Linked DNA regions of Anolis sagrei. The protein of the gene in region 1 interacts with the protein of each later gene in a pairwise test. Links are inferred from orthologs where the notes say so. Each region holds a gene or a part of one and is shown in the gene's direction. Other genes may lie near its edges.

The links. The genes of interacting proteins can lie anywhere in the genome.
Region 2: the proteins of RUNDC3A (region 1) and CCNL2 interact in binary tests that used the Homo sapiens proteins (3 or more experiments, as listed by UniProt). The two-hybrid records come from large-scale screens. The link is inferred for Anolis sagrei from reciprocal best matches to the Homo sapiens genes RUNDC3A and CCNL2.

What each region holds. Positions count from the first base shown.
Region 1 is NC_090026.1:44,452,464-44,460,810, reverse strand, and holds the start of RUNDC3A (RUN domain-containing protein 3A), read left to right. Parts: upstream 1-5,175; 5' UTR 5,176-5,261; coding exon 5,262-5,368; intron 5,369-8,347. UniProt on the Homo sapiens protein: May act as an effector of RAP2A in neuronal cells.
Region 2 is NC_090033.1:5,457,730-5,465,935, reverse strand, and holds the start of CCNL2 (cyclin-L2), read left to right. Parts: upstream 1-5,087; 5' UTR 5,088-5,113; coding exon 5,114-5,470; intron 5,471-8,206. Other genes in the region: MRPL20 (large ribosomal subunit protein bL20m), read left to right, coding at 393-566. UniProt on the Homo sapiens protein: Involved in pre-mRNA splicing. May induce cell death, possibly by acting on the transcription and RNA processing of apoptosis-related factors.

The sequences.
Region 1 (8,347 bases):
TGGCCCCTCGGCTATGGAATGCCCTACCCGTAGACATCAGGCAGGCCCCTTCGTTGCTGGCGTTCCGGAGGAAGGTCAAGACGTGGCTCTATGAACAAGCGTTCGGCTAACAATGCAACTGAACTCAGGAAGACGGTATAAATGAACAAGGAAATGGTAGAAGGATTATGAGAACGGAATTTGATTTTCACTGAGGCGTTGATGACTATGTTGTGTTGTTTGTATTGTCTGTTATGTATGTTGTGTTTTAACTAATTGTGATTGTTATATAAATTGTACTGTAAACCGCATTGAGTCGCCGAATTAGGCTGAAAAATGCGGTATAAAAATAAAGCAAATAAATAAATAATAATAATAATGTTTCTTCCAGCAATTTTAACCCCAGCCTTGGATTCATCAAGCCCTGCCCATTGCATGATGTGTTCTGCATACAAGTTGAATAGGTTGGGTGAGAATATACAACCCTGCCATACGCCTATCGCAGTCTGTTTTTCCATGGTCAGTTCTTACTATTGCTACTTGGTCATTATACAGATTCCTCAGGAGACAGACAAGGTGGCTTTGTATCCTCATACCACCAAGAACTTGATCCACATTTTAGGAGATATTTATTGAAAAACTATTGCAAAATGTGCTGCAGATTTTTTTGCAGTTTAATAAACTTCCCCCATGTTTTTATGATAGAAACAATTAGGAAATGACATTTATAACCCAGGAAAAATGTGTTACATAATGTTATCCACTTTTGTCTATAATCTTTCCTCTCTGAAACACTGTTTTAGCATACGGTGCATCCATGTTTTTACCATGTTTTTATGATAGAAGCAATTAAGAAATGACATTTATAATTCAGGAACAAAAAGTGTGTTACATCATGGCAGAAGGAAATGGGATACTGTGTCATTATCTGGCCGGAGGCCACTAGGGGGTGCTAGAGAGAAAAGGATAGTCCATTTTATGGACATGGAGGGTGGGTTGAAGAAGGAAAACTACTTCCTCCTATTTTCCTGTTATTCCTTCAACCTATGTCCCTGTTGTGGAAAGGTTTATGAAATGGAAAGCAGGGAGGGGGAATCACCACTGAAAACAAGGGGAAATGGTTTTCCTCCTTCAACTCCTTCCCCCTGTAAAATGGACTATCTTTCTCTCTTTAGTGCCCCCTAGTGGCCTCCATCGGAATAATAAAACAGAACCTTAGATAGAACCAATTAGGAAATTGTATTTATAATCAGGAATAGAAATCATGTTACATAGGGCCCTTTCACACAGCCATAAGTAAAGGTAAAGGTTTCTCCTGACATTAAGTCCAGTCATGTCCAATTCTGGGGGTTGGTGCTCATCTCCATTTCTAAGCCGAAGAGCTAGTGTTGTCTGTAGACAACTCCAAGGTCATGTGGCTGGTATGACTGTATGGAATGCTGTTACCTTTCCACAGGAGTGGTACCTATTGATCTACTCACATTTGCATGTTTTTGAACTGCTAGGTTGGCAGAAGCTGGGCCTAACAGTGGGAGCTCACTCCACTTCCCGGATTCGAATTGCCAACCTTTCAAACTATGGACTTTTCAGTCAGCAAGTTCAGCAGCTCTGTGGTTTAACCTGGTGTGCCACCCGGGGCTCCCCATACAGCCATATAACCCAGAATATCAAGGTAGAAAATCCCACAATATCTGCTTTGAACAGGATTATCTGAGTCCACACTGCCACACTGCGGAGATTAAGATCCTCCGGGGAGGCCCTGCTTTCCTTTTCATTATTGTCACAGGCGCAATTGGTAGGGTTGAGAGACAGGGCCTTCTCGGTGATGGCCCCCTGGCTATGAAGCTCCCTTCCTGGTGAGATCAGGTCGGCCCCCTCCCTCCTGTCCTTCAGAAGGATGGTAAAAACTTGGCTGTGGGACCAAGGTTCAGGACAGGGCAATAAAGCAGCAGTAGGAAAGATTACCAGGCCAATTAGATTTGACACTAATGACCAGGATGGTTTTAAATTGTGTATTTTAATATTGAAATAAAAGTTTTTCATATTTATGTATCCGTATATGAATCCATGTCACAGCATTGAACGTTGGCCATATATGTGGTACAGCTGGCTGGGAGTCAGTTGTATTAAGATCAATACTGACAGAAAGGTCATGAGTTCGAAGCCAGCCCGGGTCGGAGTGAGCTCCCGACCAAAATTGTGTAGCTTGTTGTCGACCTTTGCAGCCCGAAAGACAGTTGCATCTGTCAAGTAGGAAATTTAGGTACCATTTATGTGGGGAGGCTAATTTAACTGATTTACGAAGCCATAAAAATCTCCAGGAAGTATGCAGAGAACGAGGAAGTACTTCATCAGTGTCACAAATGGACGGTGAAGTGACAGCTCACCTGGTGGCCAGTAGCTGGAATGTTAAGTAGCCTCTGAGTGTCTGTCTATATATGTTGTGTGTCTATGGCTCTTAATGAGACATGCCGCATTATCACGGGGTATCTGCGCCCTACACCACTGGAGAAATTACACTACTTAGTTGGTATTGCACCACCTGACATCTGCCGGGAAGTAGCAGCTAATAGTGAAAGGACCAAGGCAGAGACATCTCCAGCTCATCCCTTGTTTGGGTATCAGCCAGCATGTCAACGACTTAAATCTAGAAATAGTTTTCTAGGATCTACAGAGACACTCGCTGGAACACCTCAGCAAGCGAGAGTCCAAAAGTCCAAAACCCAGAACCTCAATCAATGGCTGATACCAAATGAGAGACTCCCCCCTGGGCACACAGAAAACTGGGCGACTTGGAAGGTGCTGAACAGACTGCGCTCTGGCACCACAAGATGCAGAGTCAATCTTAAGAAATGGGGATACAAAGTGGAATCCTCGACATGTGAGTGTGGAGAAGAGCAAACCACTGACCATCTGCTGCAATGCAACCTGAACCCCGCCACATGCACCATGGAGGACCTTCTTGCAGCAACACCAGAGGCACTCCAAGTGGCCAGATAATGGTCAAAGGACATTTAATCAACTCCCAAGCTTGCAAACTTTGTGGTTTTTTAAATTTGTTTGGTTGTTTTGTTCTGTTAGAAATGTAATACAATGGTCTGGTTGCCCCTAACACGATAAATAAATGGCACTGAATGTTTGCCATGTATATGCACATTGTAATCCGCCCTGAGCCCTCTGCGGGGTGAGAAGGGTGGAATATAAATACTGTAAATAAATATATAAATATGCTGTGCTCTTCCCTGAGTCCCCTTTGGGGTGAGCAGGGAGGAATATCAACGTTTTAAATAAATAAAATATATTCCAGTTCAGAGAGGATAATGTGGGATTTTATTCAGCTGTGTGGAAGGGTAGAAGAAAATGCTTTTTTTTACATCAAATGGCAAAATCAAGGTGTGGTTTTTTTGGGGGGGGGGGGTTTGGGTGGTGGAGGATAATATTTTCAATCTCTGGGTGGTTGGATCCGTGGATACAGAATCCGTGGATTCGAAGGTCCAACTGTATGAATGCCTGAAAAGAATGGGCAGGGAGGGATAACAGGGATGGCTCTTTTTCAAGGCATTGTTGTTGTTCATTCGTTTAGTCGTCTCCGACTCTTCGTGACCTCATGGACCAGCCCATGCCAGAGCTCCCTGTTGGCCGTCACCACCCACAGCTCCTTCAAGGTCAGCAGTCACTTCAATGATGCCATCCATCCATCTTGCCCTTGGTTGGCCCCTCTTCCTTTTGCCTTCCACTTTCCCCAGCATAATTGTCTTCTCTAGGCTTTGCTGTCTCCTCACGATGTGGCCAAAGTACTTCAGCTTTGTCTCTAGTATCCTTCCCTCCAGTGAGCAGTTGGGTGTTATTTCCTGGAGGATGGACTGGTTGGATCTTCTCGCAGACGAAGGCACTCTCAGAACTTTCCTCCAACACCACAGCTCAAAAGCATCGATCTTCCTTCGCTCAGCCTTCCCTAAGGTCCAGCTCTCACATCCGTAGGTTACTACAGGGAATACCATGGCTTTGACTATGCGGATGTTTGTTGCCAGTGTGATGTCTCTACTCTTTACTATTTTATCGAGATTGGACATTGCTCTCCTCCCAAGAAGTAAGCGTCTTCTGATTTCCTGGCCACAGTCTGCATCTGCAGTAATCTTTGCGCCCAGAAATACAAAGTCTGTCACGGCCTCCACGTTTTCTCCCTCTATTTCCCAGTTGTCAATCCTTCTTGTTGCCATAATCTTGGTTTTTTTATGTTTAGCTGCAACCCAGCTTTTGTGCTTTCTTCTTTCACCTTGATTAGAAGGCTCCTCAGCTCCTCCTCACTTTCGACCATCAGAGTGGCGTCATCTGCATATCTGAGGTTGTTAATGTTTCTTCCAGCCATTTTCACCCCAGCTTTGCATTCATCCAGCCCCGCACATCGCACGATGTGTTCTGCATACAAGTTTAAAAGGTTGGGTGAGAGGATGCAGCCTTGCCGTACGCCTTTCCCAATCTTGAACCAGTCTGTTGTTCTATGGTCAGTTCTGACTGTTGCGACTTGGTCCTTGTACAGATTCCTCAGAAGAGAGACAAGGTGGCTTGGTACGCCCATCCCACCAAGAACTTGCCACAATTTATTATGATCCACACAGTCAAAGTTTCAAGGCATTGGACATCCTTTATTGAAAGCTGCCTTCTGATGGATTGGATTATAACTCCCATACATCCCCCCACAATCAAGAATCATGGGAGTTGTAGTCTGATCCCTTTCCTCTCCCTCGATCCCTTCCTGTCTCCCCCTCCCTCCCTTTCCCAACTCCTTCCCATCACCAGCCATGACGTCACCGGCCTCCAAAGGGAGGGGGCTGCTTCCTCTTCGAGGAAGGAGGAGGGCCGGCTTTTCAATCAGCACCAAGGAGAGCTCCTCCCGGCCTGCCCTCCTCCCTCTCTCCCCCCGCCCTCCCTCCCTTTCCTGGTCCTCCTCCGACCCCGATCTCCTCTTTGGCGGCTTTCCCAGCACCCCCTTCCCTCCCCACCGCCTCCCTTGATCCCTCCAAGAAAGGGGGCTGGAGCTAATTTTAGGACGAGAGAGAGGAGGCCGATACTTCCGAGCCATCCGATCTTGGGGGAGGCTCACCCAACGCCTCGTCTTCTGGGGGAGGGCGGGAAGGAGGGGCCGGGGGAGGGGAGGGGGTGGTGGGGAGGAGGAGGAGGAGGAGGGAAGAGGGGGAGGGGGAGGGGAGGGGGAGGAGGAGGAAGAGGAAGGCAAGCGGGTGGTAGCGGCGCCCGGCCGATCCAGAAGATCCCTCCCCTGGATGGAACCCAGCTGCCTCCAGTCCACCATGGCGCTGGGGCTCTCCTCCAAGAAGGTCTCCTCCCGGAACATTGCGGTGGAGAGGAAGAACCTCATCACCGTCTGCAGGTAAGGGGTCAGCTGGGAGTCTTTGTATATATATCTATATCCTATCTATCTATCTATCTATCTATCTGAGAGGAGCTGTATCTCAGAGGGTCCACCTTAACCATTTCAAGCCATGGTTGACCATTCACACCCAGAACATCTCAGCCAGATCCATGCACATACATAACTACATACATACATATATATAGTTATGTGTAGTTATGTATGCATGGATCTGGCTGAGATGTTCTGCATATGAATGGTCAACCATGGCTTGGAATGGTGAAGGTGGACCCTCTGAGATACAGCTCCTCTCTTAAGATTAGAGGAACAAATCTGGAAGGACATCAGTATAGTATGGAAGGCTAAATATATATCTATATTATATGTATGTATTTATATATTTATGTATGTTTAGATAAAAGATCTGGCTGAACTGGGTGTCCCCGGTTCAAGGAAATGGTTAACCACGGTGAAGGTGGACCCTCTGAGATACAACTCCTCTCTTAAGATTAGAGGAACAATTGTGGAAGGACATCGGCATAGTATGGAAGGCTAGATATATATACATACATGTATGTGTGTATGTATGTATGGATCATAGATGTGGCTGTTCCCAGTTCAAGGAAATGGTTAACCACGGTGAAGGTGGACCCTCTGAGATACAACTCCTTTCTTAAGTTCAGAGAAACTATCCAGAAGGACATCAGCATAGTATGGAAGGCCATGTGTGTGTGTGTGTGTTTGTATGTTTGGATCTGGTCATGGATCTGGCTGAACTGGGCATCCCCAGTTCAAGAAAATGGTCAACAATGGCATGGCATGGTGAAGGTGAACCCTCTGAGATACAGCTCCTCTCTTAAGATTAGAGGAACAATTATGGAAGAACACTGGCATAGTATGGCAGGCCATATATATATATATATGTGTGGATCTGGTCGTGGATCTGTCTGAACTGGGTGCCCCCGGTTTAAGGAAATGGTCAACCATGCCTTGGCGTGGCAAAGGTGGACCTTCTGAGATACAGTTCCTCTCTTAAGATTAGAGAAACAATCCGGAAGGACATTGGCATAGTATGGAAGGCTAGATATATATCTATATATCTATATTATATGTATGTATTTATTTATGTATGTTTGGATAATAGAACTGGTGTCCCCAGTTCAAGGAAATGGTCAACCACAGTGAAGGTGAACCTTCAGAGATACAGCTCCTCTCTTAAGCTTAGAGAAACAATCCAGAAGGACATTGGTATAGTATGGAAGGCCACGTATATGTGTGTGTGTGTGTGTGTGTTGATCTAATGATGGATCTGTCTGAATGGTGTGCCTCCGGTTTAAGGAAATGGTCAACCATGGCTTGGCATGGCGAAGGTGGACCTTCTGAGATACAGTTCCTCTCTTAAGATTAGAGGAATAATTCTGGAATGACATCAGCATAGTATGGAAGGCCATGTGGTGTCTGTGTGTGTGTGTGTGTGTGTGTATTTATGTATGTTTGGATCTAGTCATGGATCTGGCTGAATGGATGGCCCCAGTTCAAGGAAATGGCCAACCATGGCTTGGAATGGCAAAGGTGGACCTTCTGAGATACAGCTCCTCTCTTAAGATTAGAGGAACAATTCTGGAAGGACATTGGCATAGCATGGAAGGCTATATATATGTGTGTATTAATGTATGTGTGGATCTGGTTGTGGATCTGGCTGAACTGGGTGTCCTCAGTACAAGGAAATGGTCAACCATGGCTTGGAATGGCAAAGGTGACCCTCTGAGATACGGCTCCTCTCGTAAGATTAGAGAAACAATCCGGAAGGACGTTAGTATAATATGGAAGGCTATAGATGTATTTATGTATGTTTGGATCTCATGGATCAGGCTGGATGGGTGTCCCCACTTCAAGGAAATGGTCAACCTTGGCGTGAAATGGCAAAGGTGGAACCTCTGAGATAGAGCTCCTCTCGTAAGATTAGAGAAACAATCTGGAAGGACATCAGCATAATATGGAAGGCTATTTATGTATGTTTGGATCTCATGGATCTGGCTGAATGGGTGTTCTCAGTTTAAGGAAATGGTCAACCATGGCCTGGCATGGTAAAGGTGGACTCTGAGATACAGCTCCTGTCTTAAGATACCTGTCAGGTTAGAGAAAACAATCTGGAAGGGCATTGACATAGTATGCCATTTGGAAAAAAAATAGAAGGGAGCATCAAGGTGAGATAAGGGAGCAAGCTCAAAGCTGAAAGGTGGAAGAGTGGGTAGACTCAGGCCAAAGGTAACTGGAGTCAACATGAGATGCTCTGTTGTGATCCATGTTTCAGAGAAGGCTTGGTGTAATCCACATGTGTGATACGCAAGGCCCATGGGCCGAATCCACCCTCTGTATCCTTTTCTGTGCCCCTCCTCCAGAGGCTGGATTCTAACTCCTGTATTCCTCATCATGATGGGAGCTGTAATACAATAGCATCCGGAAAGCTTCCATTTGTACTGTGTAGTCAGAATAATGGACTAGATTATACAAAACTTGTGGATATGGTGCCTGACTTTAAAATGCCCTTTAGCCTTTTCTCAGCCTCAGAGCCACATGTGCTGTTGGGTTGCGAGTCCCATTATACCCAGTCCTCATGGCATATAATCAAAAGTGATGAGAGTTGTTGTTCAGTAACACCTGAGAACCCAAACTGGGTAAAAATTAGAGTACTGACCACTATGTTATATATATAAAATTAGAGTACTGACCACAATGTTATGTGTGTGTGTGTGTGTGTATGGATTCAATGGCTCTTTGAAGGCAACCATAAGGCGGATGTGGTCCTCCATGAAAATGAGTTTGACACCCCTGGTGTAGACTATTTATTTATTGGAGCCTTCATGAGAAGTAGCTGGGAATCTCACAACCCTAAGAAATTCTCTCCCTTTGACCTCAAGGTTTTGGGGAAAGAAAGACTGGTGTATTGTCGAAAGCTTTCAAGGCTGGAATCACTGGGTTGTTGTAGGTTTTTCA
Region 2 (8,206 bases), on another chromosome or scaffold:
GGGGAGGAATGGCAGGAAAGAGGTAAAGAAAGAAGGAAAGAGAAAAGGAAATCAAAAATGAAAGAAGGAAGGAAACAGGGAGGGAAGAAAGGAGACAAAGGAAGAAGTAGAGAAAGGGAGAGGGAAGGAAGGAAAGACAGAGAGAAGGAAGGATGAAACCAAAGAGCAAAAGAAGGAATGAAAGAAAGAGGTACAGAAGGAAGAAAGGAGAGAAAGGGGAAGAAAAAGGGGGGAAGGAATAGGTAGGTCCAGATATCTACTTCTACTTCGAAAATTCTTACTACAGGTCACAGCAACGTGTGGCAGGGCACAGCTAGTATATATTATAATTATATTATCATATTATAATTGAGGGGTTTCGACTGCCAACTTTCCCCCCTTTGTCATTTCAGTGTCAAGTGGAACTGAACCGGAAAGCGCTGGCCGACCTGGCGATCTACGAGCCGAGGACGTTCAAGTCCTTAGCTGCTTTAGCCAAAAGGAGAGGAGAAGAAGGCCTGCTCGCTGCCCAAGGAGATGGAAAGGAACCCAATGGGATATTCTCACGCCTTTTTAAATATGTTTGAAGATGTCGCTGGGCTTAAATTAAAAATGGGACTGTTTTGGAAAATTTGGTCTGTGGCTTGCTGAAATGGCGAGAAGGTTTTTCTTTTCTGCTAGTGTTTGGAGATTTTGTATGGGATGTTTGGGTCTCCTGAAAAGGGGAACTCCAGACAAGAAACCATCAGGGACAACTAATCGCCTCTCAACAAAGGATTCCCCCAAGCAGTAAGAAGCCACACCTTGAAGCTGCTAGGCCATTAAATGCTAATCAAGGTGGCCAATAATACAATGTTCTGGTTGCGGATGACACGATAAATAATACAATAATACAATGTTCTGGTTGCGGATGACACGATAAATAAATAAGGTGGCCAATGGAAACGTTCACACCTACCTCCAACAGACAAGAGTTCTTTCTCCCACCCCACAGATAGATAAACCCCATTTCCCCTAGTTTCCAACCGACCTCCCAACCTCTGAGCATGCCTGCCATAGATGTGGGAGAAACGTCAGGAGAGAATGCTTCTAGAATTTATTTATTTATTTATTTGCTATATTTATATACCGCCGTTTCTCAGCCTAGCCGGCGACTCAACGCGGTTTACAACATAATATAACAATCAACAGTATACAGTTAAAAGCATAAAAAACATAAAAAACATAAAAGCACATAAAAAACATGGCCAGACAGCCCGGAAAACATAACAACAACCCAGTGATTCTGGCCATGAAAGCCTTCGACAATACACTGTTTGGGTCTTGTTTGGCAGCCATTTTTTATAGTGGAATCACCTTGCCTCTGTCTACAAATCGTATTATATATGTCCTAATGCGGGCAAAGAGCTCTTGAAAATGTGGCAGTGTGGACACTCCGGTTCTGTATTCGTTGCCTTGTCTTCTCTGGAAGGATAGAAGGAAGAAGGCTCTGTGAAATTAAAAGCTGAAGGTCTGCCTGGGATGATAATTGATCTTTGTCTGGCTAGGAAAAGAAGACAGGGGAACTCCAGACAAGAAACCATCAGGGACAGCTAATCAATTGGGCCTCTTTGGGAGACAGTTCCACTGCTTGGAAGTAGATACTAAGGGTGCATCTACATTGAAATTAATGCAGTTTGAAGCCACTTTAACTACTATGTTTTCATGCTCATGGTTCAGGACAAATGGCAAGCTATTTGACGTTTCCTTCTTGGGAGCAGAACAATGACCAACATACAATTATTATATAGTGTAATACAATATACAAATAATAATACAATATAATGTGCAATAGTGCAATTGTATGACTCATATTACATGTAAAATACAATATACAATCATTTTATTATATATTATATTGTATTATTATTAGTATGTTGTATTATATTATATAATTATCAATATGATACCATATTCTAATAATAATACAATATAATTGTATATTTTATATGTAATATGACTAATAATATTGCAGTATATTATAGTATAATATACTGCAATATTATTAGTCATATTACATATAAAATATACAATTATTTTATATTGTATTAGTATATTGTATTACATTATATAATTATCGATATAATACGGTACAATATTCTAACAAGAATACATTACATAATATAGTGCAATATTATTAGTCATATTACATACAATTATTATATATATTATATTGTATTATTATTAGTATATTATTTATGTAATTATAAATATATCATCTAATAATAATGCAATATAATTATACTATAATATACTGCAATATTATTAGTTATGTTATATATAAAATATAATATACAATTTTTACATTGTAGTAGTATATTATATAATTATCAATATAATATGATACAATATTCTAACAAGAAATCATATAATATAGTGCAATATTATTAGTCATATTATATGTAATATATATATTATATTGTATTATTATTAGTATATTGTATTACATTATATAACTATCAATATGATATAATGTTCTAATAATACAATATAATTATACCATAATATATTGCAATATTATTAGTCATATTTTATATTGTATTAGTATACTGTATTATATTATATATTATTAATATAATATGATACAATATTATAATACATTATAATATATAGTGCAATATTATTAGTCATATTACATGTAATATATATCTTACAATTATATATTATATTATTAGTATTTTACATTATATAATTATCAATGTAATGTAAAACAATATGCTAGTAATACAATATAATTATAATATTATAATATACTACAATATAGTGCAATATTGTTAGTCATATTACATGTAATATATAACATACAATAATATATATAATATATTATTATTAGTATATAACATTATATATTTATCAAAATAATATGATACAATATTCTAATAATACATTATAATATATAGTGCAATGTTATTAATCATATTACATGTAATACATACAATTATTTTATATTATATTATTAGTATATTATGTTATATAATTATCAATATAATGTGAAACAATATGGTAATAATACAATATAATTATAATATATTATAATATGGTGCAATATTATTAGTCATATTACATGTAATATATAATATACAATATACAGTATATTATATCCTCCAGGAAAGAAAGCCCGACTGCTCATTGGAGGGAAGGAGAGTAGAGACAAAGTGGAAGTCTTTTGGCCACATCATGAGGAGACAGCAAAGCCTAGAGAAGGGAATGATGCTGGGGAAAGTGGAAGGAAAAAGGAAGAGGGGCCGACCAAGGGCAAGATGGATGGATGGCATCCTTGAAGTGACTGGACTGACCTTGAAGGAGACCCTGGGGGTGGTGACGGCCGACAGGGAGCCCTGGCGTGGACTGGTCCATGAGGTCACGAAGAGTCAGAGACGACTGAACGAGTGAACAACAAACAACATAATAATATATAATATACTGCAATATTATTAGTATTACATGTAATATATGATTATATTATTAAATATACTGTATTATAAATATATTGTATTACATTGTGTTATTAATATACACTAATTTTAATACAATATAATATAGAATATTATGATATACTGCAATATTATTAGTAATATTACAGTACATGTAATATATAACTGCGCCCGTACCTTGGGAAGTCTGACTTGGCCACGGTAGTCCACACTCTGGTTACATCCCGTTTAGACTACTGCAACGCTCTCTACGTGGGGTTGCCTTTGAAGACGGCTCGGAAGCTCCAATTAGTCCAACGTTCGGCAGCCATGATATTAACAGGAGCGGAGCGCAGGGAGCATACTACTCCTTTGCTGCACCAGCTCCACTAGCTGCCGATGTGCTACCGGGCTGAATTCAAAGTGCTGGCGTTGGCCTTTAAAGCCCTAAACGGTTCTGGCCCAACCTACCTATCCGAACGTATCTCGGCCTATCAGCCCACCTGGACCCGAAGATCTTCTGGGGAGGCCCTGCTCTCTATCCCGCCTGCTTCACAGGTGCGGCTGGCGGGGACGAGAGACAGGGCCTTTTCTGTGGTGGCCCCTCGGCTATGGAGCGCCCTTCCCATGGAGGTAAGATCAGCCCCCTCGCTGATGGTGTTCCGAAGAAGATTAAAAACCTGGATGTTCGGATAGGCATTTGGTTAATTCGGTGCAATGAATGTGATGATTAAAGGATTGGTAATATGGACGACGGAACTGGATCACGATTTTAGTCAGGAGATGCTTTGGATTGTTATTGATGTACCAATATTGTGTATTATGTTTTTATGGTTTTAAATTGTATACTGTTGACTATTGTATTTGGTATTTTGTTGTAAACCGCGTTGAGTCGCCAGCTAGGCTGAGAAACAGCGGTATACAAGTACAGTAAATAAATAAATAAATATATTGTACTATATATTATATTATCTACATTTACTAATACAATATAATAGTATATAATATAATATGCTGCAATACTATAAAATACAGCAATTTTATTATTGAATGTTGAATTACATTATATTATTATGAGTTTATACTACTAATTCAATATAATGATATATATTTCTTAAAATACAGCAATTATATTATTAAATGTATTACATTATATTATTATGAGTTTATACTACTAATAATTCAATATAATGATGTATTGCTTAAAATACAGCAACTATATTATTAAATATTGTCTTACATTATATTATTATCAGTTTATACTAATAATTCAATATAATGATATATATTTCTTAAAATACAGCAACTGTATTATTAAATATTGTATTACATTATATTATTATGAGTTTATACTACTAATAGTTCAATATAATGATATATATTTCTTCTTATTATAGTCTGAAGCTGACTGAGTCCTGCTCTGACTAGGCCCAAAGCCTTTGGGAAGAGTTCCTTTGGGGCGCGTTGCATGCTGGGAGAAAGCCTCCCTAACGTCTTTTTTTCCCCTTCATTCGAAACCGAAAAGCAACGCTCCGCCCCCGCCTTTGACGTCACAACGCGGTCGCCCAATAGGAGCGTCCTCTCGGCGGGAGGAGACCAATGGGAGGCGAGGAGGAGGCGAGCCGGGCTGAGGGGGAGACAAAAGCCTCGCGCGAGACAGGAAGAGGCCAGTCGGGGACAAAATGGCCGCCGCGACCACCACGACGACGGGAGGAGCCGCTTCCGCCGCCGCCTCCTCAGCGCCGGGCTTCGGCTCCTCGGCCTCGTCCAACTCCTCGTCGTCGTCCAGCGGCGGACCCGCGGCTTCGGCGGCGTCTCTCCCTCCGCCGGCTCTGCCTCCTCCTCCCGGCGCGGTCCGCATCGGCGACCGGCTCTACTCCGGGGTGCTCATCACGCTGGAGAACTGCCTCCTCTCGGACGACGCGCTTCGCTTCACGCCCTCCATGGGCAGCGGCCTCGACGTCGAGACCGAGGGGCAGCTCCGCATCACCGGCTGCGAGCTCATCCAGGCCGCGGGGATCCTGCTCCGACTCCCTCAGGTACATCCGGGTAGGCCGCACTAGGCCTCAGGCGCCTCGGGGTGGGTTGAAGCCTAGTTTGGAGTAGAATGAGAGAAGGAAAGAAGCCCCAAAGGCTTCGCTAGGCCTCAGGCTCTTCGGGGTGAGTTGAGGCCTAGTTTGGGGTAGAATGAGAGAAGCCCCAAAGGCCTCGCTTGGCCTCAGGAGCCTCGGGGTGGGTTGAGGCCTAGTTCAGGGCGGGAGGAGAGAAGGAAGGAAGCCCCAAAGGTCTCGCTAGGCCTCAGGAGCCTCAGGGTGGGTTGAGGCCTAGCTCGGGGCCGGAGGAGAGAAGGAAAAAAGCCCCAAAGGCTTTGCTAGGCCTCAGGAGCCTCGGGGTCAATTTAGGCCTTGTTCGAGGTTGAATGAGAGAAAGAAGGAAGCCTCAAAGGCTGTGGGGAGAGGCTGGGAAGTGTTGGTTACGCCTCAAGGACCACAGGGTTGATTGAGGCCTAGTTCAGGGCGGGAGGAGAGAAGGAAAGAAGCCCCAAAGGCTTCTCTAGGCCTCAGGCGCCTCCGGGGTGGGTTGAGGCCTAGTTTGGGGTTGAATGAGAGAGGGAAAGAAGCCCGAAAGGCTTCGCTAGGCCTCAGGGTCCTAGGGGTTGATTGAGGCCTAGTTCAGGGTGGAAGAAGAGAAGGAAAGAAGCCTCAAAGGCTTTGCTAGGCCTCAGGAACCTCGAGGTCGATTGAGGCCTTGTTCGGGGTTGAATGGGAGAAAGAAGGAAGCCCCAAATGTTGTGGGGAGAGACTGGGAAGCGTTGGTTGAGTCCTAGTTCAGGACGGGAGGAGAGAAAAAAAGAAGCCCCAAAGGCCGTGGGGAGAGGCTCGAAAGCGTTGTTTAGGCCTCAGGCACCTCGGGGTGGATTAAGGCTTAGTTCGGGGTTGAATGAGAGAAGGAAGGAAGCTCCAAAGGCTGTTGGGAGAGGCTCGGAAGCGTTGGTTAGGCCTCAGGCGCCTCGAGGTGGGTTGAGGCTTAGTTCAGGGCGGGAGGAGAGAAAAAAAGAAGCCCCAAAAGCCGTGGGGAGAGGCTGGGACGTGTTGATCAGGCCTCTGGAAGCTTAGGGTTAGAGTCCTCAGTGTGAGAAGGCCCCAGTGGGAGAAAGGTCTCAGTGTGAGGTACCATAAAATAAGCCATTCTTCAGGAAAAATAAATATAAAACTGTGTTTGGAAGCCTTGGGGAGAGGCTGGGAAACATTGGTCAGGCCTCTGGAAGCTTAGGGCAAGAGTCCTCAGTGTGAGAAGGCCCCAGTGGGAGATACCATGTTACTCTGAAAATAAGCCATTATTGAGGAAAAATATAAAACTGTGTCTTCAAGGTGGATTTAGGCGAAGTTTGGGATGGAAGGAAGCCCCAAAGGTTGTGGGGAGAGGCTGGGACGTGTTGGTCAGGCCTCTGGAAGCTTAGGATTAGAGTCCTCAGTGTGAGAAGGTCCCAGTGGGAGAAAGGTCTCAGTGTGAGATACCATGTTTCTCTGAAAATAAGCCATTTTTGAGGAAAGATAAATATAAAACTATCATCAGGGTGTATTTAGGCCAAGTTCAGGGCGGAAGGAGAGAAGGAAGGAAGCCCCAAAGGCTGTGGGGAGAGGCTGGGAAGCGTTGGTCAGGCCTCTGGAAGCTTAGGCCTCGCTAGGCCTTGGGTGTATGTAAGCCAAGTTTGGGGTGGAAGGAGAGAAGGAAGGAAGCCCCAGAGGCCGTGGGGAGAGGCTCGGAAGTGTTGGTCAGGCCTCTGGACTCATAGGGTTAGGGTTAGAGCCCTCAGTGTCAGAAGGCCCCAGTGGGAGAAAGGCATGTGTGAGGTACCATGTTTCCCTGAAAAAAAGCCATTCTTGAGGAAAAATAAATATAAAACTCTGTCTTCTGGGTAGATTTAGGCCAAGTTTGGGGTGGAAGGAGAGAAGGAAGGAAGCCCCAAAGGCCGTGGGGAGAGGCTGGGAAGCGTTGGTCAGGCCTCTATAAACTTAGGGTTAAATCCCTCAGTGTGAGAATGCCTCAGTGGGAGAAAGGCACCAGTGTGAGGTACCATGTTTCCCTGAAAATAAGCCATTCTTGAGGAAAAATAAATATAAAACTCTGTCTTTGGGGTGGATTGAGGCCAAGTTCGGGGTAGAAGGAGAGAAGGAAGGAAGCCCCAAAGGCCCTGAGGCCTAGCAAAGCCTTACAATATAGTAATATATACAAATATTGTCCAATGCCAAGGCTTGGAAGTGTTGGCCAGTCTTCTGTGTTGTCGAAAGCTTTAACGTCAGGAATCACTGGGTTGCTGTGAGTTTTCCAGGCTGTCTGGCCGTGTTCCAAAAGCATCCTCTCCTGACGTTTCACTCAAAGCCACCCAATAATAAATTTTATTTACATACTGTCCTATCTCCCCAAAAGGACTCAGGGCAGGGAACAATAAGGCCATTAAATTCTAATCAAGGTGGCAGATGGAACATTCACACATGCCTCTAGCAGACAAGAATTCTTTCTCCCATTCTGGACATCATTCCATAGATATATTAACCTCACTTGACTAGTTTCCAACAGACCTCACAACATCTTGATGATGCTTGCCATAGGTGTGGGTGAGACATCAGGAGAGAATGCTTCTGGAGCCTGGCCATATAGCCCAGAAAACTCACAAGTAATACATTTTATTTATATGCTGCCCTATCTCCCTGAAGGGAGTCAGGGTAGGGAACAATAAAATGATATGTTTTGAAAGGCTTTCATGGCCGGAA